Linked DNA regions of Anolis sagrei. The protein of the gene in region 1 purifies or fractionates together with the protein of each later gene. This does not show direct contact. Links are inferred from orthologs where the notes say so. Each region holds a gene or a part of one and is shown in the gene's direction. Other genes may lie near its edges. The genes, in order: HSF1, BAG3, FBXW7 and NCL.

Region 1 (7,824 bases):
GTCATTCTGGGGTCAAACGTCCTGTCTCATTGGAAACACCTTTAGGAAGAGTACTGGCGGAATGGGACAGGGTTGCGTCGCTGACGCAGGCCAGTAGGGTAAAAAAATCGCATGGAAAGGTGGCCCACCAGGCCCTCAGCAGGTGGAGTTTCGTGGCCCCTCATGGCAGTCGGATCGCTGTGAGGGGGCCAAGGGGACCGAACTCGCCTCTGCCTCATGCTTTTTTGCCATGTGCCGGAGGAGGTGGAAGGGGGGTAGTTGTGGCCAACTCCTACCATGCAAGGGGAAGGTGACAAAGCCCCAACCCCCAGGAAACCCCCTCCAGACCTTTCCCCCCTCCCTTTGAAAATTGCTTGTTCCCCTACCATCCCATTCCCATTTCCCTTTACCCAATCTCCCTGACTCCTTCCTTCCCTTTCCAACCCCTCCATTTCCCTATTCCCTATTATGAAATGTCTGCATCCATATGCCCCTCCTAAATTTTTTTCCCCCCTGTTCCTTGAGGAAATGCGCTAGGGAAATTCTTTGCTCTCCTCCTCTCCTGCTTTCTCCTGTGCCACCTTTTTTTCCTTCCTTCAGATGGGAAAAGGAGGCATTGCTCATTCCCTTCTCCCCCAAGCTACTACAAAATCCCTTCTTTCTCAAGCTGAATCTTCAGTGCCTGTTTATTTATAATAAACAGTGTTTCTCCTCGCCAGGAGAGACCCTGCCACTGATGTGACTCAGCTGCCTTGCAAAAGTCTCTCTCTCTCCTGGTCTCCCTGACCCAAGAGCTCTCTTTTTCTCCCCTTCTCTTCTGTGCAACTACAAAACCCATTTTTCAGGGGCAGTCACCAATGTCCCTGCCTTATCCTTTGTTCTCTCTTTACTCCCCAACTTCCCTTTTTTTCTCTCAAAACCCCTCCTCCCTTTCTCCTCTCGCAAAGGGAGGTGTAAGAGGGGACCTTTTCTGTTCCTGTTTCCTCTTGCCAAACAAAGTTTTCTGGCTCTCTCTCTCTCTCTCTCTCCCTGCTTTTCCCCTTTTCTCTCTAAGAGCCAGACCTCACCAAAGAGTTCCATGTGCTTGTGAAATGTCTCTGAAACCCATCCTTTCTCTCTCTCTCTCTCTCTCTCTTCCCTCCCCTCCCATCCTCTAAGAAGCCAGTATTCTGTGAATTCTTTCCTCTATCTCCCAGAGGAATCCTGCTGCTCCCTCTTACCTCCTTCTCCAAAAAACCTAAGGAAGGGATGTTCCAGAAGCATTCCCTCCTGACATTTCACCCACATCTGTGGTTAAATCTCTCTCTCACACACACGCAGTCCCTCTGATGCTCTTTTCCTTCCTGGCCCTTCCTCCCTCCCCTTTCCCTGAGCGCATGTATGTGTATGTCTAGATTATCCCATTAACTGCCTTAAATATGAAGGGGGCGTCGAGGTCCAGGGGTCCCCTCTGCGCAGTAAAGAGCAACTGATCAAACTGTGGGACCCATAATCCACTCCTGCCGCTGAGGACAACTACCTGGGCGAGGTGAGCAAGGGAGGTCTGTGGACTTTCCTGTGTGGAACCCAGATGGCACAGGAAGATCCCAGGAGAACAGGACCAGACCCCATGCCGCCCAGAAGAGACAGCCCCTCCTAGAGGCTGATCTGAGCCCCCACGGGGGAATGCCATCGCAGGAGGAGCAACCAGGATCCCACAGCAACTGCCATGAAGGAAGGAGGCCCTGCCCGTTCCAGAAGCTGTGCAGAGGGGTGGCCCAAAGGAGACCACTGACGCCCCCACTAGGTATGAAAGTTTTTTCCCTTTTGTTTCCCCACTAACTACCCTTGGGCTGGGAAGGGGGGGGGGTGGGGGGGGCTGTAAACCTTCTTTCTGACTGTCCTAGACACTATCCCTGAGTCTCTGTGATGATGGAGAGCCGGACCGGTCTGCGGTCACCAGGAGACGCCACGCCAGAAGGAGTAGCAAGGCTGTGCCCCATCTTCTCCCTCCCCCAAGTGCCAAGGGAGGAGCCAGCGCCCCCAGGAGGCCTGAGGACCACGGCCAGATGGGAGGATTCCACCATGTGCCATCCTTCTCCATTGGGAACTCACTCTGGACCCCTGAGTGCTCCATGCTGACGGCCATCACAGGCTCCATCATCCCCTGCCTCCACCGTCTTCACCTTCTTACTTCAGTCTCTTTTTCTTTCTCCAACCCAAAGAACACTCCGCCACTGGTCTCTCCCACCCTGCTGGGTCCTGCTGTTGTTGCTTGAGTGGGGCCCCGAAATAATCAACAGAATACAATCTAATCAGTCTAGAAAGAGGCCCTGAGTGCTTGGGGGGGGATTGTCGAGGCTTGAGGAAATGAGTGTGACCATTTCCCAGCCTCGAAGGGAGGATTTGATGCAGAGCATCTTTCCCCCCCCCAAGTATTTGTAGTTCACCAAGGGCCGGACAATGGATTCTGCTGCTTCCTGACCCAGATGGGACATAACTGGGTTCCTGTTTCCTCTCTGTGAATTCTCTGGCTTGTGCACTGGACCCTGGCCCCTGATCAGGGAAATGCAGTTCCCCAAAGGACATTGCCCCACTCTCCACTATTTGCAGATTCTTTTGCGGACCTTTCTGCCCTCTCTGATCGACTTGGTGCCCTAACATCACGGACTTCCTCCATGAACTCAAAGCCAAGCCGCTTGGGGAGAAAGAGCCCCCCGCCTGTGTGTGCGTGCCCTTGTTGAAAAGGATCATACCTCGGGAACTCTGCTGATTATCTCTATCAATTGCTGTGGTTTTCTAATAAACTTTACTGGGATGGGATGGGGATCTTTCCTATGGAATCTATGAGTTATGAAAGCCTATGAAGAAAATATGTATGAAGTATATGATATATGATGAAATGAAATGAAATGAGATGTACCCTCACCCTCCTTCCTTGCCTTTTCCCCTCTTGAACTTTGCCCTATTGAAAGATACGTGACCTGGGGTTACAGTAAGGAATCCAATTTCCTTGGAAAAAACTCCATTCATATTGACATTGCATGGACAAATACTGGTCACATCTGTGGCTTTGTTTTCAGTGTCAGACGAACAAAGCCAGAGATTTGCCAGCCAAAAACCCGGAAAAAACAGACTGATTAAATCAATCAAGGTGTTTTGTGTACGCTCCTTTGTGACAAAGGACCCCTTTGCCCACAAGGTTGAGATCCAGACACCACCCATAGCCACCCTTTTTGCCTATACACATCTTCTTATCGGAACCCAGGAAATCCCTTGTTCCCCCGTCTGCCTCCCCTGCCGTGAAACAACAAAGGGTGTTCAATCAGCTGGCGGACGCCTCCCAGGCATTCCGCCCCTCCACGCTGTCAAAATACATCCCGCCTCCTGGCCGCTGATTGGACAATCTCCGGAGGCGCTCCGAGGGCTCTGATTGGCCCCCTGGAGGCGACAGCGGCCGGCGATTGGAGGGAAGGCGGGACCAGCGGCCAAGCCTCCTCCCAGCTGTTCTGGAGCCGGCCAATCAGGACAGAGGGAACTGACAGGAGGCGGGCGGGAGATTCAAACCAGGATTTCTTTGTTTCTTCTGTATAAATATGCCTGAAATTCACTGTACTGCATGCTTATTGTGGATTCATCCCTTTAATGCATCCTTTTCAGCTGAATCGCTAAATAAACGCCTCGGTCGCAGATCTCCTCTTCAGCCTCTGGTGAGATTGATTTTCAACGTTTTTGCGTCTTTTTGAATTGGCATCCGCTGGCAGCTCACCAAGGTCGGGACCCCATTCGCGGTCCTTAGGGACTCGCCTCGCTGGGAGTACCCCCCAAAAGAGCTCGATATCAGGAGCAAGCTTCCTTTCTGCTGCCCTGGAGACTAGGACGCAATGGACCCATGGCTTCAAACTACAAGAGAGGAGATTCCATCTGAACACGAGGAAGAACTTCCTGACTGGGAGAGCCGTTCAGCAGTGGAACTCTCTGCCCCGGAGTCTGGTGGAGGCTTCTTCTTTGGAAGCTTTGAAGCAGAGGCTGGATGGCCATCTGTCAGGGGTGATTTGAATGCAATATTCCTGCTTCTTCGCAGAATGGGGTTGGACTGGATAAAGGCCCATGAGGTCTCTTCCAACTCTTGGATTCTAGGATTCTATGATTCTCAAGCACGGCTGGCGGGGACTTTCTTGGTGGTGGCTCCTCGGCTGTGGAACGCCCTTCCTACGGACATTAGACTAGCACCATCTCTAATGGTATTCCGCAAAAAAGTGAAGACCTGGCTGTTTGTGCAGGCGTTCGAATAATTAGTGCAATGATTGGTTAATGAACATTGGAACGGAATAATGGATGACGAATCTGGATCATGTTTCTGATGATGAGATGATAGCGAATAGTGAATGGTTACTGTAGTAATTGTTTATTAATTATGTACTATGTTCGGGTTGTTGAATGTGTTTTTATACCGTGGCCTTGAATTTTTGCTGTTTTTGCTGTTCTAATTGTTGTGAATTGCTGTGAGTTGCCTTCGGGCTGAGAAGGGCGGTATATAAGTAAAGTAAGTAAATAAATTAATAAATGTAAACAAAAATAGAGCATTCTAAGCGATGTAAACAAAAATAGCTTGGGGCTTTCTGAGTTTTTTTCAGACTACAACTCCCAGCAGGCATTATGAACGCTGCCTTTGGTGCGCCCTTCTGGGAAATGTAGTCCATTTTTTGAAAAGAAAAGATGCGCATGCGCAAAATTCTAGATAAAGGATATGAGAGAGAGCGAACTGTGTTGCTGAGGTCTTTTTGCAGGCAGCACTGCGCGTGCGCACTCCTTCGAGGGAGCCACTGCGCACGCGCGGGGCCGTCCTTGCTGAGGGGGGCGTGTATGCGCGAAGTGCGCGTGCGCAGGATTCCCCCAAGATGGCGGCGGCCATGCCTGGATTTTCTGAGGCGCTGCTGAGTGCGCAGAGAAGGGCGTCCGGCCTGGTGAGGGCCCGCTAGCCGAGCCTGCCTTGCCGGCTGGGAGTCGGAGCGAGGGCCTCCGGAGGAGGAGGACGAGGAGAAGGGCCGGGCATGGAGGCCTCGGGCGTGGGCGCGGCCGGAGCGGCGGGCAGTAATGTGCCGGCCTTCCTCACCAAGCTCTGGACCCTCGTCGAGGACCCCGAGACAGACGCCCTCATCTGCTGGAGCCCGGTGAGGAGGAGGGAATCCGAGGGAAGGAAGGAAGGGACCCCCCAAGGCCATCCAGTCCCACCCCCTGCCAGGCAGGAGAAGCACCACCAAAGCCCTCCCGACAGGTGGCCCTCCAGCCTGTGCAATCACCAAAATAATAGCAGCCACCCAGGAGGAGGAGGAGGAGGGCGGGCATCCGAGGGAAGGAAGGGACCCCCAAGGCCATCCAGTCCCACCCCCTGCCAGGCAGGAGAAGCACCACCAAAGCCCTCCCGACAGGTGGCCCTCCTGCCTGTGCAATCACCATAATAATAGCAGCCACCCAGGAGGAGGAGGAGGGCGGGCATCCGAGGGAAGGAAGGGACCCCCAAGGCCATCCAGTCCCACCCCCTGCCAGGCAGGAGAAGCACCACCAAAGCCCTCCCGACAGGTGGCCCTCCTGCCTGTGCAATCACCATAATAATAGCAGCCACCCAATCTGCCATGAGGGAAAAGTACAGTCAAAGCACTCCTAACAGATGGCCACCCAGCCTTTGTAATAATAATAATAATAAGGAGCCACCCATTAAAGAATCCTAGAATCCTAGAGTTGGAAGAGACCTCCTGGGCCATCATCCAGTCCAACCCCATTCTGCCAAGAAGCAGGAATATTGCATTCAAAGCACCCCAGACAGATGGCCATCCAGCCTCTGTTTAAAAGCCTCCAAAGAAGGAGCCTCCACCACACTCCCTCTGGGGCAGAGAATTCCACTGCTGAACGGCTATTGATGCAGGATTTTGGCCTGCATCAATAGGAGCCTAGTGTCTAGATCTAGGGAAGTCATGCTCCCCATGCTTTATTCTGCTTTGGTTAGACCACACTTGGAATATTGTGTCCAATTCTGGGCACCACAATTCAAGAGAGATATTGACAAGCTGGAATGTGTCCAGAGGAGGGCGACTCAAAGGATCAAGGGTCTGGAGAACAAGCCCTATGAGGAGCGGCTTAAGGAGCTGGGCATGTTTAACCTGAAGAAGAGAAGGCTGAGAGGAGATATGATAGCCATGTATAAATATGTGAGAGGAAGCCACAGGGAGGAGGGAGCAAGCTTGTTTTCTGCTTCCTTGGAGACTAGGACGCAATGGAACAATGGCTTCAAACTACAAGAGAGGAGATTCTATCTGAACATGAGGAAGAACTTCCTGACTGTGAGAGCCGTTCAGCAGTGGAACTCTCTGCCCCGGAGTGTGGTGGAGGCTCCTTCTTTGGAGGCTTTTAAACAGGGGCTGGATGGCCATCTGTCAGGGGTGATTTGAATGCAAAATTCCTGCTTCTTGGCAGAATGGGGTTGGACTAGATGGCCCAGGAGGTCTCTTCCAACTCTTTGATTCTATGATTCTATGAACGCAGTTCACAACAGAGCAAAAAGGCGGTCATATCAAAATAGCAGTAAACAATTTAAAACCACGAGAGCATAATATACAAGTAATGGCACATCAATAACAACACAATAACGTCTCGTAACTAGAATCGTGAACCAACTCGTCGTCTATAATTCCGTTCCTATATTCATCGTATTCATTGCACTGTTTATCTGAATGCCCGTTCAAACATCCAAGTTTTTAATCTTCTTCAGAACACCATCAGCGAGGGGGCTGATATTACCTCCATAGGAAGGGTGTTCCACAGCTGGGGGGCCACCACAGAAAAGGCCCTGTCTCTCATCCCCACCAGCCGCACCTGTGAAGCAGGCGGGATCGAGAGCAGGGCCTCCCCCGAAGATCTTAGAGTCCTGGTGGGTTCATAGGCAGAGATACGTTCGGATAGGTAGCTTGGGCCAGAACCATAATAATAGGAGCCACCCAGTCCAACCCCCTCCTCCTATGCAGGGAAAGCACAGTCAAAGCACCCCGAACCATTGAAATAATAATAATAATAATAATAATAATAATAATAATAATAGGAACATCCTGCCATGCAGGGAAAGCACAGTCAAAGCACCCCTAACACATGGCCACCCGGCCTTTGAAATAATAATATATTTCAAGCCACCCAGTCCAACCCCCCATCTGCCATGCAGGGTAAGCACAGTCAAAGCACCCCCAACAGATGGCCACCTAGCCTTTGAAATATTATTATTATTAATAATAATAATAATAATAGGAGCCACCCAGTTCAACCCCCATCTGCTATGTGTGGTAAGCACAGTCAAAGCACCCCCAACTGATGGCCACCCAACCTTTGTAATAACCATAATAATAGGAGCCACCCAATCTGCCATGCGGGAAAAGCACAGTGAAAGCACCCCCACATTGAAAGCACCACAGTGAAAGGCCACCCAGCCTTTTAAATAATAATAATAATAATAATAATAATAATAATAATAATAGGAGCCACCCAGTCCAGCCCCCTTCTGCCATCCAGGAAAAGCACCATCAAAGCACTGCTGATAGATGGCCATCCAGCCTCTGCTTAAAAGGAAGAAACTTCCACATGACTCCAAGGCAGAAAGTTCCACTACTGAACAGCTCTTCTTGCCGTCAGGAAGTTCTTTCTAATAAAGTTCAGGTGGAATTTCCTTTCCTGTAATTTGAACCCATGACTCAGCATCTTAGTTTCCAAGGCAGCAGAAAACAAAGCTTCTCCCTCTTCCTTTTGACATCCTTTCACATATTTATACAGCTGAAAATACCAGTTGGATCAAGGGAAGTCATGATCCCACTCTGTTCTACT
Region 2 (7,527 bases), on another chromosome or scaffold:
GCCACCATGACGGCCATAGGACTGTCACAGATAATATCTGGCCCCACGCATCAAGCTGGGCACACTCTCGACCTCGTCTTTGTGGCGGACGACGAATTGATCAGAGTGGAAGATCAAAACATCCTTCCAGTGTCATGGTCTGACCATCATCTGATCACATTTAGACTTACTGCGACCCTAAACCTCCGCAGGGGTGGAGGACAAATTAAGATGGTCCGCCCTAGGAGACTGATGGATCCGGATGGATTCCTGAGGAATCTTAGGGTTCTTCCTGCCTTGGAGCCTGGCGATTCTATCGACGCCTTAGTAACTCTCTACAACGGGGAGATGGCCAGGGCGTTAGATACGATCGCACCCGAACGCCCCATCTCGTTGCATTGTGACAGGCCATCTCCTTGGTTCACCGAGGAGTTGGCTGTGATGAAGCATACGAGAAGGGGGCTAGAGCGCAAATGGAGGAAATCTCGAGACGTGTCTGACCGAGCACGGGCTAGAGCCTCTCTTAAGGCATACTCCGTGGCCATACGGGCGGCCAGGAAGTCATTCACGACCGCTCATATAGCATCTGCAGCAAATAGATCATCGGAGCTGTTTCGGGTCGTGGGTGAACTCCTCCACCCACCAGCGGTGGAGGAGGTCCCCGACGACCCCACAGCTCGGTGTCGCGATTTCGCACACCATTTTGCAGATAAAGTCGCCCAGATACGCCTCGAGCTCGACTCCAATTCCATCGCAGTGCCAGAAGAGGTGACGGAGGCACCTGCTTGTCTAACTTTATGGGATTCTTTTAGGCTTGTTCTTCCTGAAACCGTGGAGGAGATCCTTGGGGCTGTGAGAGCGACCACCTCATCCCTGGACCCATGCCCATCCTGGCTCATTAAATCAGCCAGAGGGGGGTTGCTTGACTGGTTTGTACCGATTATCAATGCATCGTTGGAGCAAGGAATTTTTCCATCTAACCTGAAGCAGGCCGTGGTTCGCCCACTTATCAAAAAAGCTTCCCTTGACTCCTCGGTGCTGAATAACTACAGGCCGATCTCCAACCTCCCCTTTTTGGGTAAGGTGCTGGAGAGGGTGGTCGCCTCTCAGCTCCAGGGTTTCCTAGACGATACCAACTACCTAGATCAGTCACAGTCTGGTTTCAGGCCTGGTCATGGCACCGAGACAGCCTTGGTCGCCTTGGTGGATGACCTCCACAGAGAGCTGGACAGGGGGAGTGTGACTCTGCTGGTTCTCTTGGACATCTCAGCGGCTTTCGATACCATCGATCATGGTATCCTTCTGGGTCGTCTCTCCGGGATGGGCCTTGGGGGCACGGTTCTGTCGTGGCTCCAGTCCTTCCTGGAGGGACGAACTCAGATGGTGAAGCTGGGAGATGCCTGCTCTGACCCCTGGCCTTTGACCTGTGGGGTCCCGCAAGGCTCTATTTTGTCTCCCATGCTTTTTAACATCTACATGAAACCGCTGGGAGAGGTCATCCGGGGTTTTGGAGTTGGGTGCCATCTCTACGCAGATGACACGCAACTCTACTACTCTTTTCCACCTAATTCCAAGGAGGCTTCTCAGGTGCTAGGTGAGTGCCTGGCCGCTGTGTCGATCTGGATGAGGAAGAACAAGCTGAAGATCAATCCCGACAAGACAGAGGTCCTCCTGGTCGATCGTAAACCGGATCGGGGTATAGGGTGGTTACCTGTGTTGGACGGGGTTACACTCCCCCTGAAGCCACAGGTCCGCAGTTTGGGTGTCCTCTTGGATTCCTCGCTTACACTTGAGGCTCAGGTGTCGGCGGTATCCGGGAGGGCCTTTGCGCAACTGAGACTTGTGCGCCAACTGCGACCATACCTCGTGAAGGCTGATCTGGCCGGGGTGGTCCACGCCTTGGTCACCTCTAGAATGGATTACTGCAATGCGCTCTACGTGGGGCTGCCCTTGAAGACGGCTCGGAAACTTCAATTGGTCCAGCGGGCAGCAGCCAGGATGCTAACCGGGGCTCATTATCAAGAGAGGTCTACCCCTCTGTTTAAGGAGCTCCACTGGCTGCCTTTTATTTTCCGAGCCCAATTCAAGGTGCAGGTGCTTACCTACAAAGCCCTAAACGGTTCGGGACCACCCTACCTGCGTGACCGCATCACCATCTACGAACCCACACGCTCGTTACGGTCATCCGGAGAGGCCCTGCTCGTGATCCCACCCACGTCGCAAGCGCGCTTGGTGGGGACGCGGGACAGGGCCTTTTCTGTGGCGGCCCCCAGACTTTGGAACGCCCTCCCAAAAGATCTCAGACAGGCCCCCACTCTAGCCGTTTTCAGAAGGAATTTAAAAACTTGGCTGTTCCGTTGTGCCTTCCCAGACTAGAAATCCCCACCTAAGTCCTAGTAGCACCTTAGCATAATAAATTGTCGCTGCACACTGCACTTTCAACCTTACGTGCCTCCTACCATTTCAGCACTTTTAACCCTTGTACCCCATTGCGCCGGCCGAACCTGTTTTAATAATGTCCTGACGTTCTGCCATTGTCGTTATTTGCTTATTTGCTTACTGTTGATTTGCTTAGTTATTGTGGAGTTATGATATTTTGCTTACTGTTTGATTTGCTTTGTTATTGTGATGTTACGTCCTTTATTGTATTGTGTTTTGAGGCTTCGGCCTGTGTAAGCCGCATCGAGTCCTTCGGGAGATGCTAGCGGGGTACAAATAAAGTTAATAATTAATAATAATAATAAATAATTTGTATTTCTAGGTGCAAAGATTACTGCAGACGCAGACTGCAGCCAGGAAATCAGGAGATGCTTACTTCTTGGGAGGAGAGCAATGTCCAATCTCGATAAAATTGTGAAGAGTAGAGACATCACACTGGCAATGAAGGTCTGCATAGTTAAAGCAATGGTATTCCCCATAGTCACCTATGGATGTGAGAGCTGGACCTTAGGAAAGCGTGAAGGAAGATAGATGCTTTTGAACTGTGCTGTTGGGGGAAAGTTCTGAGAGTGCCTTGGACCGTGAGAAGATCCAACCAGTCCATACTTCAGGAAATAAAGCCAGACTGCTCATTGGAGGGAAGAATAGTAGAGGCCAAGATGAAGTACTTTGGCCACATCATGAGAAGAAAGGAAAGCTTAGAGAAGATAATGATGCTGGGGAAAATTTATTTATTTATTTATTTAGCAATTTTGTATACCGGTCTTCTCCCCTCTATCAGGGGACTTGGGCCGATTTCCAACAATAAAATCACAAAACAATAATTAAAAACATCATATAACATATTCAATTAAAACGTTATAACAGCAAAATGCAATCACATAATAACAATGGTCAGTCGTCATAGTGAATTTGTTGTCCATCATTCATCATCATCTATCCAATCACAGAAATATTGATTCACTCATCGAAAGCCAAACCCCATAGCCAGGTTTTCACCCGTTTTCTGGATGACAGAATGGAGGGGGCAGTTCTGAACTCCAGTGGGAGAGAGTTCCAGAGTCGAGGGGCCACCACCGAGAAGTCCCTCGTCCCTCGTCCCGACCAGACGCGCCTGAGAGGCTGGTGGGACCGAGAACAGGGCCCCTCCAGACGATCTTAACAACCTAGATGGTTCATAGGGGAGAATACGTTCGGACAGGTAAACAGGGCCGGAGTCGTTTAGGGCTTTATAGGTTAACACCAGCACTTTGAATTGTGCTCGGAAGCTAATTGGCAGCCAGTGGAGCTGGCGCAACAGGAGTAGTATGCTCCCTGTACCCTGCTCGTGTTAGCATTCTCGCTGCCGCACTATGGACTAGTTGGAGCTTCCAGGCAGTCTTCACAGGCAACCCCACGTAGAGAGCATTGCAGTAATCTAAACGGGATGTAACCAAAGCGTGGACCACCGTGGAAGGAAAAAGGAAGAGGGGCCGACCAAGGGCAAGATGGATGGATGGCATCCTTGAAGTGACTGGCTTGACTCTGAAGGAGCTGGGGGTAGTGACAGCTGACAGGGAGCTCTGGCGTGGACTGGTCCATGAGGTCACGAAGAGTTGGAAACGACAGAACGAATGAACAACAATAATAAATAAGGAGCGAACCAAATAGTTGTATTGCATTTTAAAAACACAAAACCCCCCACAAAGTTTGCAAACTTGGCATTCTATTATTTATTATGGTCTGCTGTGGACTCATCTTGTTGTGTCTCAAATAATAACAAATAATAGAATGCCAAGTGTGCGAACTTTGTGGGGGTTTTGTGTGTGTGTGTGTTTTTAAAATGCAATTCAACTGTTTGGTTCGCTCCTGGCACGATAAATGACCAAATCAGCTCCGGCCTGACTTTGGGTCGCCGTCCCCCTTCATGGGCGCTCAAGAGGGAAGAGGGAGGCTTGGCTTCTCCTTGAGCGGCGAGGCGGGGGGCGGTCCCGGGAGGCGCGCTCCGTCATAATGGAGCGGAGAGCGGCGGGTGGCGAGTAATAGCCGCCGTGACAATAATCCTAGTGGCGGGAGCGTGACTCAAGGAGGAGCTGTGAGGCGAGGCGCCCAGAAGTTTCCAGCCGGGCAGCTGCTGCTCCTCCTCCCCTGTCTCCTCCTCCTCCTCTTCTCCTCCTCTGCTATTTCCAGACCCTTCCACCCCCTTCGCCGTCCCCTCCCTCTCTCTCCCTCCGAGCCATAAAGGGGCTTGGCGGGTGGGGCGGCCTCGCTTGCTTGCCCAGTGCATGGCTGGCGAAGGAGGAGGAGGCGCCGCAGTCGCAGCAGCAGCAGAAGAGGCAGCAGAAGAGGCAGAGCTAGGAGCAGGGACAGCCGCTCTCGCAACAGTAGCAGCAGCAGCACCACCAGCAGCAGTAGGATGAGCGCGGCGGCGCAGTCCCCGGCGTTGCGGCCGACCGAGGCCGGTGGGGCGGGCGAGCGGGAGCCGCTACCGCCCGGTTGGGAGGTGAAAATCGACCCGCAGACCGGCTGGCCCTTCTTCGTGGACCACAACAGCCGCACCACCACCTGGAGCGACCCCAGGCTGCCGCAGCAGGGCGACCACCGCAAGGTACACACACAAACCTCCCCCCAGGCCGGCTTCCCGTCCTTATTAAAGACGCGAAGAGGCTCCGATGAGGACTCCAAGGGCAAGGGGTTTCGCCCCAGACTCGCCTTGAGTGGGGAAACTCCACCAGAGGGAAAGGGAGGCGGGGAAACAGGCTCAGAGAAACTTCCTTTGGGAAATGTCATTTTGTAGCGACTTCTTCTCAACCCAAACATGACCCCAGAGTCTCCCCCTGGCATACAACTCCTCCCCAACTTGCTTTGACCTTTCTATGTCTTGAATGGAATTAGTTGTGACATTTGGGAAAGAACCTTGCTTAGTACATTGTAATTACTTGCCTTCTTTGCCTTTCATGGCTGGCCTTTCACTTACTTGACAGGTTTTTCGCTCACTACTTCATCACACTAGAGAATGAATCCACTTTAAATCCAGTTTCTGCCTCCTGCAGAATTCTGGGGTTTGTAGTTTAGTGAGGCTGTTAAAGAGTCCCCCCAAACTACCAATCCCATAATTCTTCAGGAGGAAGCAACCAGATTTAAAGTGGATTCATTCTCTAGTGTGATTAGGTCCTTACTTGTCTTTTTTACCTTTATAACTGGCTTTTCAGGGCCCTTCCACACCCCTATATCCCAGAATATCAAGGCAGAAAATCCCACAATATCTGCTTCAAATTGGAATATATGGCAGTGTGGACTTGGATAACCCACTTCAAAGCAGATATTTGTGGGATTTTCTGCCTTGATATCCTGGGATATAGGGCTGTGTGGAAGGGCCCTCCTCACTTGTCTTCTTTACCTTTATAACAGGCTTTTCAGGGCCCTTCCTCACAGCCATATATTCCAGAATATCAAGGCAGAAAATCCCACATTCCCTTCTTTGAACTGGAATATTTGAACTGCGTTATCTGAATCTACACACTCAGATAATGTGGGATTTTCTTCCTTGATATTCTGGGATATCAGGCTGTGTGGAAGGGCCCTCCTCACTTGTCTTCTTTACCTTTATAACAGGCCTTTCAGTTACTTTGCCTTTTGCTTACTTGATTTATTTACCTTTATGACAGGCCTTTCACTTCTCTTATTTGCCTTTATAACTGGCCTCTCAGGGCCCTTCCGCACAGCCCTATATCCCAGAATATCAAAGTAGAAAATCCCACATTCCCTGCTTTGAACTGGAATATATGGCGGTGTTGACTCAGATAACCCAGTTCAAAGCAGATATTGAATTTTCTGCCTTGATATCCTGGGATATAGGGCTGTGCGGAAGAGCCCTAAGTTACTTCTCTTCTTTGCCTTTCACTTACTTGATTTATTTACCTTTATGACAGGCCTTTCACTTCTCTTCTTTGCCTTTATAACTGGCCTTTCAGGGCCCTTCCACACAGCCCTATTATCCCAGAATATTAAGGCAGAAAATACCACAATATCTGCTTTGAACTGCGTTATCTGAATCTACAAACTCAGATAATGTTGGATTTTCTGCCTTGATATCCTGGGATATAAGGCTGTGTGGAAGGACCTTCAGTTACCTGATTTCTTTACCTTTGTGACAGGCCTTTCACTTCCTTGCCTTCATGACTTGCCTTTCACTTACTTGATTTATTTACCTTTATGAAAGATTTTTCAATTACTTGCCTTACTTTGCCTTCGAGGCTGGCCTTTCAGTTACTTCTCTTCTTTGCCTTTATGGCTGGCCTTTCAGTGACTCGCCTTTTCTTACCTTAATGGCTGGCTTTTTACTTCTTTTTTTTACTTTTTTTTTTTGGCCTTCATGGCTGGCCTTTCACTTACTTCTCTTCTCTGACTTCATGGCTGACCTTTTGCTTACTTGCCTTCTTTGCCTTCATAGCTGGCCTTTCAGTTACCTTAGTATCTTTACCTTTATGACAGGTTTTTCATTTCTTTGCCTTCATGCCTGACTTTTCAGTGACTTGCCCTTTTTTACCTTTATGGCAGGCCTTTCAGTTACTTCTTTGCCTTCATGGCTGGCCTCTCAGTGATTTGCCTTTTTTACCTTTATGGCAGGTCTTTCAGTTACTTTTTTGCCTTCATGGCCAGCCTCTCAGTGATTTGCCTTTTTTACCTTTATGGCTGGCTATTCAGTGTATTTACTTGCCTTCTTTGGAGGTAAAGGTGAAGGAGATTGAGGAGGGAGGACTAAACGTGGGGCAGTGATGTGTGTGTGTTTTGAGGGAACCCACTTCGGGCCCTTCTGGCCCTATATCCCAGGATCTGATCCCAGGTTTTCTGTTTATCTCACATTATCTGTCAGTGCGGACTCCTATAAGCTGGTTTAAAGCAGAAAACCTGGGATCAGATCCTGGGGTATAGGGCATTTATTTTTTGACCCCCAAAGTTGAGTGCCTGGGAGAAACATGACCCTGATTTCTCCTCACAGGTTTCAGAGAGTAGACCAAGATCCTTGAGGCAGACTTCGTGAGTTTGTACGTGAGGGGAGTGTGTGCCTATGGCCCAAAGTATCTTTGTGTGTGCAAAGCTTTGTTCACTCCCTTCTCTGTGACACTG
Region 3 (7,467 bases), on another chromosome or scaffold:
TGGCCGGGCTCAGGTTGCATTGTAGTAAGTGGTCTGTGATTTGCTCTCCTCCACACTCACATGTCGGGGATTCCACTTCATAGCCTCATTTCTTAAGAGTGGCTCAGCATCTCATTGTGCCAGAGCACAGTCTGTCCAGCACCTTCCAAGTCGCCCAGTCTTCTGTGTGCCCAGGAGGGAGTTTCTTATCTGATATCAGCCACTGATTGAGGTTCCGGGTTTTAACCTGCCACTTTTGGACTCTCGCTTGCTGAGGTGTTCCTGTGAGTAGCTCTGCAACTATTTCTTGACTTAAGACATTGATATGCTGGCTGATATCTGAACAGAGGATGGGCCTGAGATGTCAATGCCTTGGTTCTTTCATTACTGGCTGCTAGTTCCAGATTGATGTCAGGTGATGCAATGCCAGCTAAACATTGTAATTTTTCTAGCGGTGTAGGGCGTAGACATCCTATGATAATGCTGCATGTCTCATTGAGAGCCACATCCACTGTTTTAACATGGTGAGATGTATTCCGCACTGGGCATGCATATTCAGCAGCAGAGTAGCAAAGTGCAAGGGCAGATGTCTTCAATGTGTCTGGTTGTGATCACTAGGTTGTGCCAGTCAGCTTGCGTGTGATATTATTTCTAGCAACCACTTTTTGCTTGATAATTAGACAGTGCTTCTTGTAAGTTGGAGGATGGTCTAAAAGTAACTCCCGGGTATTTTGGTGTCCTGCAATGCCCCAGTGCTTCTCAGGTATAAGATTCTACAAGATTCCCTTCTATAAAAATAAACAGATCAATAAAAACTTTTCTTGGTGTCTTAGTTTTTAGACATGCATCTGGGGTTATTTTGGGCACTGATTAAACAAATTACATTGGATAGATCACATCAACTCTATTTTCTTTGATACGGTTATAGTGATTTTCCATCTATGAGCAGATGGTGACTGGTAGATGGCATATATTATGTATCTCAAAAACTAGAGTGGATGGGAGGAAACTGGTGTTATTTTTGTAACCAACAGGTCAAATATACCCAGAAACAACCAAAATATAACTTTGCATACCACTTTAAACAGAACTGGTTCACAGCCACAGAACAAAAACAGCTCACCTAAGAACTGAAAATTTGGAATTTTAGTCAGAGTTATCCTCAAAGGTCCACAGCCATCTTTATGTTCTACCTACTTTATCCTTCTCTCCTTACTGGTGTAATGTCTTCAGCTAAATTTTATAAACTCTAATTTTTGCTTAGTTTTACATTTTGGTGTGATTATTGGTCCCAACAGGCCAAGGGTCTAAAAATACATGCAGAAATGCTGAGCTGTGACACAACAGTATATCATTTTTGCAGAAGGAACAAATCAGTTTCCATAAGTGCTTGGAGAACACATTCTCCTCTCCACAGGATGACTCTCCATTGGGCAAACTTTACTGTGGAGCCAAGCAGCAGGCCAGCACTTCTCAACCTGTGGGTCCCCACGTGTTTTGGCCTACAACTCCCAGAAATCCCAGCTGTTAGGATCTCTTTCACACTAACTGACAGGTGCATGCAGTATTACATGGGTATTTTCCTTTTTGGCTGGGCTCTGTAATGTTTTAGAATAGATCATATTTGAAATTGGGAGACAGACCTGCCAAGATGAAAAGAGCACTTTCCAAGAACCATAGACAGTGATAAGGAGCATTTTCTTGGTTATCTCCTGCTTAATCTTTGGCCAAGTGAGTATTCCCCTTGTGATCGTACGTCCGAACATTTGGGAAAACTAGATTGTCTGACTTTACTCGGGGGTTAGCTGATACCTTCTTTTAAGATTAAGACCCTTAGCAGAGGAACTTTAGGCAAGGTGGAAAGATAATCAAAAGAGTTTACTGAAACAAGATGAATAAAGGATTAACTCCACCCAGGACTATAATAAGGAGGAGACTTTACCTAAACTACAAACCTCAGAATTCTGCAGGAGGCAAAAACAGGATTTTAAGTGGATTTTTTCTCTAGTGTGATTAAGTTTAAGGTAACATAATACATTACAAAAGGAGATTTTGCTGGTTGCAGTCATCTTTCTGGAATCTTTGAAAGTCTCTTGCCTCTGGTGCAAAGTGATGGTTATAAACTGTCTTAATCTTCCTTGTGAAGCTTAGGCTGGCCAAAAGCTTCTGTTGTCCTTTGGACTAATGGTATAAAATACTGCTAAATGCAGGTGCTAAGAATGTCTTTTTATTGATTGCTTGGCCTAGGATTACCAGACAATGCCCCAAGCCTCTAGTGTCTGTAGAGAAAGGAGGAGTTCAATAAGAGAGGAATAGGGAACTGGAATAGATCAACTAAGTCTGACCTCTGGGGGGGTGTAATGCTTTCTGTTAGCAAAAAGGCACAAGTAATAAATAAATAACTTTAATTATATCCCACCCTAGCTCCCCGAGGGGATCCTTTCCAAATTACTTTGAAAACTACAACTCCCATGATCCCATAGTATTGACCTATGGAAACAAAAAAGGTCTCAAACTGCATTAATTCTATGTAGCCATCATCCCACCACTGCTCAGTGAGGGATTGTTGTTGTTTATTTGTTCAATTGCTTCCGACTCTTTGTGACCTTATGAACCAGCCCATGGCAGAACCCCCTCTCGGCTGTCACAACCCCCAGCTCCTTCAGAGTCAAGCCAGTCACTTCAAGGATACCAGCCATCCATCTTACCCTTGGTTGGCTACTCTTCCTTTTGCCTTCCATTTTCTCCAGCATCATTGTCTTCTCTAAGTTTTCCTGTCTTCTCATGATGTGGCCAAAATACTTCATGTTTGCCTCTAATATCCTTCTCTCCAGTGAACAGAGGGGTTTTATTTCCTGAATTATGGACTGGTTGGATCTTCTTGCGGTCCAAGGCACTCTCAGAACTTTCCTCTAACACCACAGTTCAAAAGCATCAATCTTCCTTTGCTCGGCCTTCCTTATGGTCTAACTCTCACATCTGTAGGTTACTATCATTGCTTTAACTATGCAGACCTTTGTTGCCAGTGTGATGTCTCTACTCTTCACTATTTTATTGAGATTGGTCATTGCTCTCCTTCCAAGAAATAAAGGTCTTCTGTTCTCCTGGCAGCACTCTGCGTCTGTAGTAATCTTTGCCCCTAGAAATACAAAGTCTTTCACTGCCTCCACGTTTTCTCCCTCTATTTGCCAGTTATCAATCAGTCTTGTTGCCATAATCTTGTTTTTTTTAATGTTTAACTGCAACTAAGCTTTTGCACTTTCTTATTTCACCTTGGTTAGAAGGCTCAACTCCTCCACGCTTTCAGCCATCAAAGTGGTGTCATCTGCATATCTAAGGTAGTTAATGCTTCTTCCAGCAATTTTAACCCCAGCCTTGCATTCTTCAAGCCCTGCACATTGCATGATGTGTTCTGCATGCAAGTTGAATAGGTTGGGTGAGAGTATACAACCCTGCCGTACGCCTTTCCCAATCTGTTGTTCCATGGTCAGTTCGTACTGTTGCTACTTGGTCCTTATACAGATTCTTCAGGAGACAGGGAGGGACAGTCATTTTTAAAAGTAACTTCCCAAGTTCTCTAATAATGCTCTTTTCTCATGCTGTTCTCTTCAGCCACATCATATGTTCTTCTAAGGGCCCTTCCACACAGCCCTATATCTCAGAATATTAAGGCATAAAATTCCACACTATCTGAGTGTGGACTCAGATAACCCAGCTCAAAGCAGATATTGTGCCTTGATATTCTGGGATATAGGGCTGTGTGGAAGGGCCCTTTGAAGAACATATGGTGTGACTGAAAAGAACAGCATGAGAAAAGAGCATTATTAGAGAGCTTGGAAATGTACTTTTAAGAATGACTATCCCTCCCTGTCTCCTGAGGAATGTTTGATGACCAAGTAGCAACAGTACGAACTGACCATGGAACAACAGACTGGTTCAAGATTGGGAAAGGCGTTCATCAGGGCTGTATACTCTCACCCAACCTATTCAACTTGTTGTGTGGAAGAGGCCTTAATTGTCTGATCGAATTAAGGGGGGGGGGGGATCCTAGGAAAGTGTATTTCCTAAACTCTAGCCTTCCAGGAATTCTGAACTTCATCCCCCAGAATCCCTGATCATCGACCAAGGCAGCTGAGGCTTCTGGGAGTTGAAGTCCACCGACCTGGAGGACTATTCTGGGAATCGCTATAATCGAATCAACCGCGTTCGCCTACCGAGGGGAACGCGCAGGCGCGGAAGGGGTTAATATTTCCAGAGTCCAAATCCCCGACTGCGCCTGCGCAAGTCCTTGCGACGGGATTGGCTCGCCGCGTTGGCCTCTTCCAATCGCTTCACGGCGGCGTTTTCATCTCTTCTCCATACATTCCATAGAGACGCTGCACAGCCGTCGCAAAACCCTCGACGTCACCGCCTCGCGACGGAAACAGGAGGCGGGCGGAGAGGGCTGCGGTTGCCTGGTTACGGCTGGCGTCATTTCCCCGCGCCGTGCCTTGTCTTTTCCCCTCCCTCAGCGCCCTCGCTGCCTGTGTCTCTGTGGTGCGCGAGGGAGAGAAAGCGAGCGTCTCCGGAGCCACCCGCCGGCTTCCTTGCTTCCTTCCTTCCTCGCTGCCTCTCTTCGGGCGAGACCCAGTCACCCTCATGCCTGGGAGCCGGGCGGGAGCGCCGCTGAGCCTAGCCGCCGCCGCCGGGCTCCGCTTCCGCGCTGCCTCCGCCTGGCTGGGGCCCTAGCAGCGCCCGAGGAGAGGGTTTATGAGAGCCAGAGCCGGGCGGGGGCCGCGGCCCGACCCTCTCGCCGCCACCGCCGCCTCCTCCTCCGCCTCCCGCGGGGGGAAGCGGCGGGCAGCGCTCTCGGGGCAGAGGGGGCGGGCGCGGGCGGCCCAGGCGGCGTGGGAACAGGAGGCGGCGGCGGCCACACGCCCAGCCAGGGAAGCCGAACAGGAGGAGGAGGAGGGCCTCCGAGGGACCCGTCCTGGGCGCCTCCAAGCCTCCGGATCCCCGCAGGTCTGGGCGTGAAGCTCCTTCTCGGGCCCAGCAGGAAAGACCGCCGGGCGTCGCCGGTCCTGCTGCTGCTGCTGCTGCTCTCGCTCCCGAAGTGAGTAATTCTGAGAAAGGGATGTGGAAGGGAAGGGGAGTGTTCCCGGTGGCTGTTTTCGACCTTCCAGGAGGTGCACGTGGGGTGGACACTCGCCTCCTCCTCTTCCTTTTCCTCCTCCTCTTCCTCCTCCCCTTCTTTCTTCTCTTCCTCTACCTCCTCCCCTTCATTCTCTTCCTCGTCGTCGTTTTTCTCTCTTCCTCTTTTTCTTTCTTCCTCCTCTTTCTTCTCTTCCTCTTCCTTCTTCCTTCTCTTTCTCCTCTACCCCCTTCCATCATTTTCATTCTCCTCGTCTTTTTTGTCTTCCTCCTCTTCTTCTCGTTCCTTTTCTCTTCTCTTCCTCTACCCCCTTCATTTTCTTCCTCGTTCTCTTTTTTCTTATCCTCTTCCCCTTTCCCTTCTTTCTTATCCTCTTTCCCTTTCCCTTCTTTCTCCCTCCTCCTTCATTTTCTCACTCCTCTTTTTTCACCCCTCCTCTTATTTCTTCTCTTCCTCGTTTTCCTCCTCCTCATCCCTTTTCTCTTGCTTCTCCTTAGCATCCCCCCTTCATTTTGTTTCTAATTTTTCTTCTTTCGCTTCCTCCCCCCCCTTCATTTTCTCTCATCTTTTTTCCTCCTCCTCTTTCTTTTCGTCCCTTTTCTCTTTCTTCTACTCTACCTCCCCCTTCATTTTCTTCCTCTACTTTTTCTCTTCCTCCTTCTCTTCTTCTTCACCATCTTTCTTCTCTTCCTCTACCCCCTCCCCCATCATTTCCTTCCTCCCCATCCTTTTTCTCTTTATTCTCCTCTTCTTCATTCTTCTTTCTTCTCTTCCTCCTCCCTCTTCATTTTCTTTCTCGTCTTTTTTCTTTTCCTCCTCCTCTTTTTCTCCTTGTCCTTTTTCTTTCTTCTATTCTACCTCCCCCCTTCATTTTCTTTCTCTTCTTTTTTCTCTTCCTCCTTCTCTTCCTCTTCACCATCTTTCTTCTCTTCCTCTACCTCCTCCCCATCATTTCCTTCCTCCCCTCTTTTTTCTCTTTATTCTCCTCTTCTTCATTCTTCTTTCTTCTCTTCCTCCTCCCTCTTCATTTTCTTTCTCATTTTTTTCCACTTCTTCCTCCTCCTCTTTCTTCTTGTCCTTTTTCTCTTTCTTCTACTCTACCTCCATTTCTTCCTCTTCTTTTTTCTCTTCCTCTACCTCCTCCCCCTTCACTTCCTTCCTCCCCATCCTTTTTCTCTTTATTCTCCTCTTATTCTTCATTCTCTTCCTCTTCTTTATTATTATTTATTTCTATCCTGCTTTGCTCCCAAATTGGGACTCAAAGCGGCGAACAACAAATAAAAAGCAAAGACGTAACATACCATAAAAATAATCAGTACCAACATGAGCATAATCAAAAATTATAAAAAACCCACATCAAACTTAATTAGCATCTAACAAAAAAATAAAAACATTCAATAGATTAAAACCCCATTCTTTCGCTTTCTTCTCTTCTGTCTTCTCCTCTTTCTTCTCTTCCTCTCTTTTTTCCTCTCTCCCCTCCCCCACCATTTTTGTCTTCCTCCTCTTTTGTGGGGTAGGGAGAGGAGGGGGCTGCCCTGCTAAGCAACCTTAAGCACTTCAGATGGAAGACTGGAAGTTCTCCAGGTCCTTGCAGTTTCAGCTTCCATTTTATTCACTTAAATGTGTGTTCTAAAGTTAAATGGGTGTTTTCTCTGACCTCTTGTATGAAGAATCATGCAGGTAAAGTTCTGAATAAGAGGAGCACTCTGCAAGAACTCTTAGTGTGTTTGTTTGGAGTTTAATTTATCCAGCAATTTCAAATCTTTGATACATACAGTTTTCTAACCCCTTCATGCAAAATAGACTAAAGTCCCCATTTACCCTTTAATGCCATTTCAAATGAATGTAGAAGAAAGTGGTTTCACTGTGCAGATTATTCCATAGAAAATCCGGGAACCCGTTTGGGGCCTGGATAGTGATTCCACCAACCACATGAAGGGTTTTCTTTCACGTGCTTACATGGAAGTTTCTTGCCTATCCCTTGCAGTTTGAAGTTAGCTTCGGATTGCATTAAATGGTCAGTGTAGATGGGGGCCTCTGCCTCTTGTTTCATATGCGCCTCACGTTGCAGGGTTCTCTGCACGGTCTGCTGCGCTAAGTGACCCTCCCTTTCAGCCGGGAAATCTCTCTCTCTCTTTCCCCTCCCTTCCCTTGTCTCTTTGGGGTCAGGCGGAAACCATTGGTGTGTCTTGAGGGTTCTTTAAATGGCTTTGTTGGGTAGTTTAATGAGAAGAGAACTGGTCCAGAGAGCCAATCAAATGAGCTCGGACATAGTATTTGTTACCAGAGTCTGTCTCTTTCTCTCCCCCCCCTTTCCTTTTCTCAGCAACAGAAAGTAGTTTAGATTCTTCAGA
Region 4 (7,347 bases), on another chromosome or scaffold:
TTGAGAAGGGCAGGGTACACATATTTGAAATAAAAATAAATATCCCAGATTATATGGCAGTGGATACTTTGGGCCCTTCCACACAGCCATATAACCCAGAATATCAAGGTAGATAATCCACAATACCTGCTTTGAACTGGGTTATCTGAGTCCACATTGCAACATAATCCAGTTCAATGTGGATTTATACAGCTCTGTGGAAGGGACCGCATATAATCCAGTTCAAAGCAGACAACCTGGGATCAGATCCTAGGATATAAGGACAATGTAGTAGGAACATTGGGCTGGATCTACACTGCCATATAAGCAGATCACCCACATTATGTGCTTCAAGCTGGATTATATGACCGATACACCATTCCAAAGCAGATAATCTGGATTTGATGTTCAAGTATCAGTCTTCCAACAGATATGAAAATCCATTCCGAAGCACAGAAAGAAGCCAAATTTGGAAATCAACACCTGCAATTGTGTAAAATCCACATTGAACTGGATTATCAGGCAATGTGGACTCTGGGCCCTTCCACACAGCCATATAACCCAGAATATCAAAACAGAAAACCCCACAATATCTGCTTTGAATTGGGCTGAATCCATACTGCCATATAATCCCGTTCAAAACAGAAAATGTGGGGTTCTATTCAGATGCATGAAAGGGGCCTATGTTTTAAGCCGCCCTGAGTCCCCGCTGCGGAGATAAACAGGGCAGGATAGAAATTAAGTTGCATTCATTCATTATCTGACTTGATATTCTGGGTCGTATGGCTGTGTGAGTCTACACTGCCAGATAACCCAGATCAAAGCAGATATTGTGGATTTGTTTATTTGTTGTTTGTATACACCTTTCTCAGGCCATAGGCGACTCAAGGCAGTTAACAGGGCAAAATTCAATGCTTACAATGTCTTAAATACAATTTAAAAACATAACATATAACAAAAACTAAACAAATCAATAAAATATAAATTCATAGTGTCTCCTTGTTAAAAATGTTGTCCGGACTCATTGTCTAGTCATAGAATCCTAGAGTTGGAAGAGACCTCTTGGGCCATCCAGTCCAACCCCATTCTGCCAAGAAGCAGGAATATTGCATTCAAAGCACTCCTGACAGATGGCCATCCAACCTCTGTTTATAAGCTTCCAAAGAAGAAGCCTCCACCACACTCTGGGCAGAGAGTTCCACTGCTGAACAGCTCTCGCCGTCAGGAAGTTCTTCCTCATGTTCAGATGGAATCTCCTTTCATAGAATCAAAGAGTTGGAAGAGACCTCATGGGCCATCCACTCCAACCCCATTCTGCCAAGAAGCAGGAATATTGCATTCAAATCACCCCTGACAGATGGCCATCCAGCCTCTGTTTAAAAGCTTCCAAAGAAGGAGCCTCCACCACACTCCAGAGCAGAGAGTTCCACTGCTGAACAGCTCTCACAGTCAGGAAGTTCTTCCTCATGTTCAGATGGAATCTCCTCTCTTGTAGTTTGAAGCCATTGTTCCATTGCATCCTAGTCTCCAGGGCAGCAGAAAACAAGCTTGCTACCTCCTCCCTAGGACTTCCTCTCATGGCTATCATGTCTCCTCTCAGCCTTCTTTTCTGCAGGCTAAAAATGCCCAGCTCTTTAGGCCGCTCCTCATAGGGCTTGTTCTCCAGACCCTTGATCATTTTAGTCACCCTCCTCTGGACACATTCCAGCTTGTCGTTCCAGTCGTTCCATTGTCCTATGTCAGTTACTCTGTAATTGCAAACGCTTGTTGACTTTTCTCCAGAATGTTAAAATGGAAGTGGCCGATCTAATATCTATAGGGAGAGTGTTCATCAGCCAAAGAGCCACCACCGAAAAGGCCCTGTCTCTTGTCTCCGCCAAAGGTACTTGTGACGAAGGCGGTAACGAGAGCAGGGCCTCCCCAGACGATCTTAAGGTCCTAGATGATTCATAATGGTAGATGCATTCGGACATGTAAGTTGGGCCAGAACCATTTAGGGCTCTATAGGCTAAAATTGATATGGATATTTATAGGCTAAATTTTGTAAATTAGGCTTTATAGGCTAAAACTGATATTGACATTCAGAGGACCTTTCCACACAGCTGAATAAAATCCCACATTATCTGCTTTGAACCAGATTATATCCACAATATCTGTTCAAAGCAGATATTGTGGATGGTCTGCCATGATATTCTGTGTGGAAGGGCTTAGAACAGGCATGGGCAAACTTGGGCCCTCCAGGTGTTGTGGATTTCAACTCCCACCATTCCTAACAGCCCTCCAGGTGTTTTGGACTCCAACTCTCACCATTCCTAACAGCCTACTGGCTGTTAGGAATGGTGGGAGCTGGAGTCCAAAACACCTGGAGGGCTGTTAGGAATGGTGGCTGTTAGGAATAGTGGGCGTTGGAGTCCAAAACACCTGGAGGGCTGGGTTGTAGTTTTTTTTGGGCTGTATGGCCATGGTCTAGAGCAGAGGTCTTCAAACTAAGGCCCGGGGGCCGGATGTGGCCCTCCAAGGTCATTTACTCGGCCCTCGCTCAGGGTCAACCTAAGTCTGAAACTACTTGAAAGCACACAACAACAACAACAATCCTATTTCATCAGCCAAAAGCAGGCCCACACTTCCCATTGAAATATTAATAAGTTTATATTTGTTAAAATTGTTCTTCATTTTAATTATTGTAGTTTTTTGCACTACAAATAAAATATGTGCTGCGTGCATAATATTCATTCATGTTAGGCCCTCCAACAATTTGAGGTATTGTGATCTGGCCCACTTTTTAAAAAGTATGAGGACCCCTGATCTAGAGGTATTCTCTCCTGAGGTTTCGCCTGCACTTTGGCAAGCATCCTCAGAGGTAGTGAGGTAACAACCTGGAGGGCTGTTAGAATTGTGGCTGTTACAAATTGTGGGAGCTGGAGTCCAAAACACCTGGGGGGTTGTTATGAATTGTGGCTGTTAGGAATGGTGGGAGTTGGAGTCCAAAACACCTGGAGGGGTGTTAGGAATTGTGGCTGTTAGGAATAGTGGGCTTTAAGAGTCCAAAACACCTGGAGGGCTGTTAGGAAATGTGGGAGTTGGAGTCCAAAATACCTGGAGGGCTGTTAGGAATTGTGGCTGTTAGGAATAGTGGGCTTTAAGAGTCCAAAACACCTGGAGGGCTGTTAGGAAATGTGGAGTTGGAGTCCAAAATACCTGGAGGGCTGTTAGGAATTGTGGCTGTTAGGAATAGTGGGCTTTAAGAGTCCAAAACACCTGGAGGGCTGTTAGGAATTGTGGCTGTTAGGAATAGTGGGCTTTAAGAGTCCAAAACACCTGGAGGGCTGTTAGGAATTGTGGGAGTTGGAGTCCAAAACACCTGGAGGGCTGTTAGGAATTGTGGGAGTTAGGAATGGTGGGAGCTGGAGTCCAAAACACCTGGAGAACTGTTAGGAATTGTGGCTGTTAGGAACTGTGGGGGTTGGAGTCCAAAACACCTGGAGGGCTGTTAGGAATGGTAGGAGTTGGAGTCCAAAACACCTTGAGGGCCGTTAGGAATTGTGGCTGTTACAAATTGTGGGAGTTGGAGTCCAAAACACCTGGAGGATTGTTCGGAATGGAGGGAGGTGGGAGTCCAAAACACCTAGAGGGCTGTTAGGAATTGTGACTGTTAGGAATAGTGGGGTTTAAGAGTCCAAAACACCTGGAGGGCTGTTAGGAATGGTGGGAACTGGAGTCCAAAACACCTGGAGGGCTGTTAGGAATTGTGGGAGTTGGAGTCCAAAACACCTAGAGTGCTGTTAGGAATGGTGGGGTCCAAAACACCTAGAGTACTGTTAGGAATGGTGGGGTCCAAAACACCTGGAGGGCTGTTAGGAATTGTGGGAGTTGGAGTCCAAAACACCTAGAGTACTGTTAGGAATGGTGGGGTCCAAAACATCTAGAGTGCTGTTAGGAATGGTGGGAGTTGGGGTCCAAAACACCTGGAGGGCTGTTAGGAATTGTGCCTGTTAGAAATTGTGGGAGTTGGAGTTCAAAACACCTGGAGGGCCCAAGCTTGCCCATGCCTGGCTTACAGACACACAAGAACAAACCGGATCCAGAGCCACAAAATGGGCCGACCCCACGCGGTTGCAGGCAGAGGGCGCCGCCACGTGTTCTCCTTACCACTTCCGTCTCTGCGAAACGGACCTATCAGGAAGCGTAGAATTCCCAGTTTTGTCATCTTATTGGCTCGGCGACGTGTCGTCCCGCCCTCGAGTTCAGGGGCGGTGTCTGATTGGGCGGAGCGAGTCGACGCGGGATTGGTGTGGGGGAAAGCCCGGAGTGGGCGGAGCTTGGGGCTGCGCGGTCTCCCATTGGCTGAGGCGGCAGCGTGGGGCGTGAGGGAGAGCGCGGCGAGCCCTCGACCTCGCTCTTTTCGCTTTTGGCGGAGACTGGAGAGCGCGGCGGTCCCTTCTTTCTCTCTCTCCTTGTAGGCCTCGCTCCACATCCGGGCATCTCCCAGCGCCGCCATCATGGTGAAACTCGCCAAGGTGAGGCTTTGAGGCCTAGCCTCACTCATTTAGAATGGAAGGAAACCCAACGAATGAAGGGGGGAAAGGGTTTTTTTTTAGTAGGCCTTGTGCGCGTGCGCAGCAGTTTCAAGGCCTCCCGTTCCTTCGCTTCTACACAAGCGAGGAGGCAGCAGTTTCAAGACTCCCCTTCTCCCTTTTCCTACTACTTATTTATTTATTTTGGCGCGCAGGCGCAGATCGAAATAGAACGCTCGGCGGTTTCTAGGACTCCCCCCTTTTTTTTCTTCTAAAAGGAAAAGAGCGAGCGCGCGCGCATACGCGCAGGAGTTTCTAGGCGCCCGCGCTCTTTCTTTTTTTCCCCCTTTTCTCTGTGTTGAGCGGCGCGCGCAGCCAACGGAGAGGGGAGGGGCTGGGAGGAAAGAGGAGCGAGCAAGGAGCGGTGTGCGCGCGCACTCTCCCTCTCCCGCCTGCTCTCCCGAAGCCACGTGATCTCAAACCACGTGGGTGATGGAAGGAAGGAAGGAGAGGAAATGCTCAGCCTAGGCCTCGCTTCCGGGGCTTCCACGTGGTTTTCGCGTTCTGCTCAAAAGAAAAAGGGACCCTTAAAAAGACCCTCCAGTCCAACCTGTAATTCTGCCATGCAGGGAATGTACACAAACCTTTGCATTATATTGTACTGTGTTGGCCTTTATATTCCTTGGAAGGGACCCCTAAAGGCCATCCAGTCCAACCCCCTTTTTGGGTTTTGCTCAAAAGAAAAAGAGACCCCTTAAAAAGACCCTCCAGTCCAACCTGTAATTCTGCCATGCAGGGAATGTAAACAAACCTTTGCATTATATTGTACTGTGTTGGCCTTTATATTCCTTGGAAGGGACCCCCAAAGGCCATCCAATCCAACCCTCTCCTGCCATGCAGGGAATTATAGCCTTTTCATATTGTATTGATATTGTAGTGTACTGTGTTGGCCTGTATTAATTGCTCTTTATATTCTTTGGAAGGGGCCCCCCAAAAGCCATCCAGTCCAACCCCTCCTGCCATGCAGGGAATCACAACCTTTTCATATTGTTGTGTTGTATTGTACTTTGTTGGACTGTATTGATAGTACTTTCTAATCCTTGTGAGGGACCCCTAAAGGTCGTACAGTCCAACCCCCTTCTGCTATACAGGGAATTGTATTGTATTGTACTGTGTTGGCCTGTATTAATTGCTCTTTATATTCCTTGGAAGGGATCCCTAAAGGCCACCAGTCCAACCCCCTTCTGCCATGCTGGGAATTACAACCTTTTCATGTTATATTGATAATACTTTCTAATCCTTGTAAAGGACCCCCAAGGCTATTCAGTCCAACCCCCTTCTGCCATGCAGGGAATTATAGCCTTTTAATATTATTGTATTGATAGTACTTTCTAATCCTTGGAAGGGACCCCCAAAGGCCATCCAGTCGAATCCCCTTCTGCCATGCAGGGAATTGTAGTATTATATTGTATTGTACTTTGTTGGTCTGATTTAATTGCTCTTTATATTCCTTGGAAGAGACCCCCCAAAGGCCATTCAATCCAACCCCCTTCTGCCATGCAGGGAATTGTAGTATTATATTGTATTGTACTGTGTTGGCCTATATTAATTGCTCTTTATATTTCATGGAAGGGGCCCCCAAAGGCCATCCAGTCCAACCCCTTCTGCCATACAGGGAATTTTAGTGTTTTATTATATTGTACTGTGTTGATTACCCTTTATATTCCTTGGAAGGGACCCTAAAGGCCATCCAGTCCAACCCTTTCAGCCATGCAGGGAATTACAGCCTTTTCATGGTATTGTATTGTATTTTCTAATTCTTGGAAGGGACCCTAAAGGCCATCCAGTCCAACCCCCTTCTGCCATGCAGGGAATTATAGCCATTTCATATTGATAGTACTTTCTAATCCTTGTAAGGGACCCCCAAAGGCCATCCAGTCCAACCCTTTTCTGCCATACAGGGAATTGTAGTATTATTATATCATATTGTACTGTGTTGATTACCCTTTATATTCCTTGGAAGGGATCCCTAAAGGCCATCCAGTCCAACCCCCTTCTGCCTTGCAGGAAATTGGAACCTTTGCATTGTATTGTACTGTGTTGGCCTGCCTTGATAATGGTTTCTAATCCTTGGAAGGGACCCCCTCCCCCCCAAGGACATCCAGTCTAATCCCCTTCTGCCATGTGCGAAATTTATGTATTGCATTGCACTTTCTAAACCTTGGAAGGGACCCCCAAAGATCATCCAGACCAACCCCTTTCTGCCATGCAGGGAATTTGAACCATTGTATTGTACCATGTTGGCCTGTATTGATTGCCCTTTATATTCCTTGGAAGGACCCCTAAAGGCCATCCACTCCAATCCCCTTCTGCCATACAGGGAATCACAACCTTTTCATATTATTTTATTGCATTGTATCATACTTTGTTGGACTGTATTGATAGTACTTTCTAATCCTTGTAAGGGACCCCCAAAGGCCATCTAATCCAACCCCCTTCTGCCATACAGGGAATTGTAGTATCGTATTGTGTTGGCCTGTATTAATTGCTCTTTATATTCCTTGGAAGTGACCCCCAAAGGCCATCCACTCCAACCCCCTTCTGCCATGTAGGAAATTTTTAGTATTATATTGTACTGTGTTGGCCTGTATTAATTGCCATTTATTTATTTATTTTAAACATTTTAACTGTATCTAAATAGGAATATCTTTATATTCCTTAGAAGGGATCCCCAAAGACCATCCAGTCTAACCCCCTTTTGCCATGCAGAAAATTATAAACTTTGCATTGCATGGCAATTTCAACCTTTACAACCTTTGGCCTGTATTAATTGGCCTTTATATTCCTTGGAAGG

The links.
Region 2: the proteins of HSF1 (region 1) and BAG3 purify together in Homo sapiens (affinity purification with mass spectrometry; 3 studies listed by BioGRID and IntAct, with this or other methods). This does not show direct contact. The link is inferred for Anolis sagrei from reciprocal best matches to the Homo sapiens genes HSF1 and BAG3.
Region 3: the proteins of HSF1 (region 1) and FBXW7 purify together in Homo sapiens (affinity purification with western blotting; 4 studies listed by BioGRID, with this or other methods). This does not show direct contact. The link is inferred for Anolis sagrei from reciprocal best matches to the Homo sapiens genes HSF1 and FBXW7.
Region 4: the proteins of HSF1 (region 1) and NCL purify together in Homo sapiens (affinity purification with mass spectrometry; 3 studies listed by BioGRID, with this or other methods). This does not show direct contact. The link is inferred for Anolis sagrei from reciprocal best matches to the Homo sapiens genes HSF1 and NCL.

The regions. Positions count from the first base shown.
Region 1 is NC_090024.1:2,717,702-2,725,525, forward strand, and holds the start of HSF1 (heat shock factor protein 1), read left to right. Parts: upstream 1-4,815; 5' UTR 4,816-5,012; coding exon 5,013-5,132; intron 5,133-7,824. UniProt on the Homo sapiens protein: Functions as a stress-inducible and DNA-binding transcription factor that plays a central role in the transcriptional activation of the heat shock response (HSR), leading to the expression of a large class of molecular chaperones, heat shock proteins (HSPs), that protect cells from cellular insult damage.
Region 2 is NC_090023.1:202,041,417-202,048,943, reverse strand, and holds the start of BAG3 (BAG family molecular chaperone regulator 3), read left to right. Parts: upstream 1-4,511; 5' UTR 4,512-4,813; coding exon 4,814-5,005; intron 5,006-7,527. UniProt on the Homo sapiens protein: Co-chaperone and adapter protein that connects different classes of molecular chaperones including heat shock proteins 70 (HSP70s), e.g. HSPA1A/HSP70 or HSPA8/HSC70, and small heat shock proteins (sHSPs), e.g. HSPB8.
Region 3 is NC_090025.1:50,919,868-50,927,334, reverse strand, and holds the start of FBXW7 (F-box/WD repeat-containing protein 7), read left to right. Parts: upstream 1-4,449; 5' UTR 4,450-5,071; intron 5,072-7,467. UniProt on the Homo sapiens protein: Substrate recognition component of a SCF (SKP1-CUL1-F-box protein) E3 ubiquitin-protein ligase complex which mediates the ubiquitination and subsequent proteasomal degradation of target proteins.
Region 4 is NC_090023.1:267,120,587-267,127,933, forward strand, and holds the start of NCL (nucleolin), read left to right. Parts: upstream 1-4,337; 5' UTR 4,338-4,478; coding exon 4,479-4,496; intron 4,497-7,347. UniProt on the Homo sapiens protein: Nucleolin is the major nucleolar protein of growing eukaryotic cells. It is found associated with intranucleolar chromatin and pre-ribosomal particles. It induces chromatin decondensation by binding to histone H1.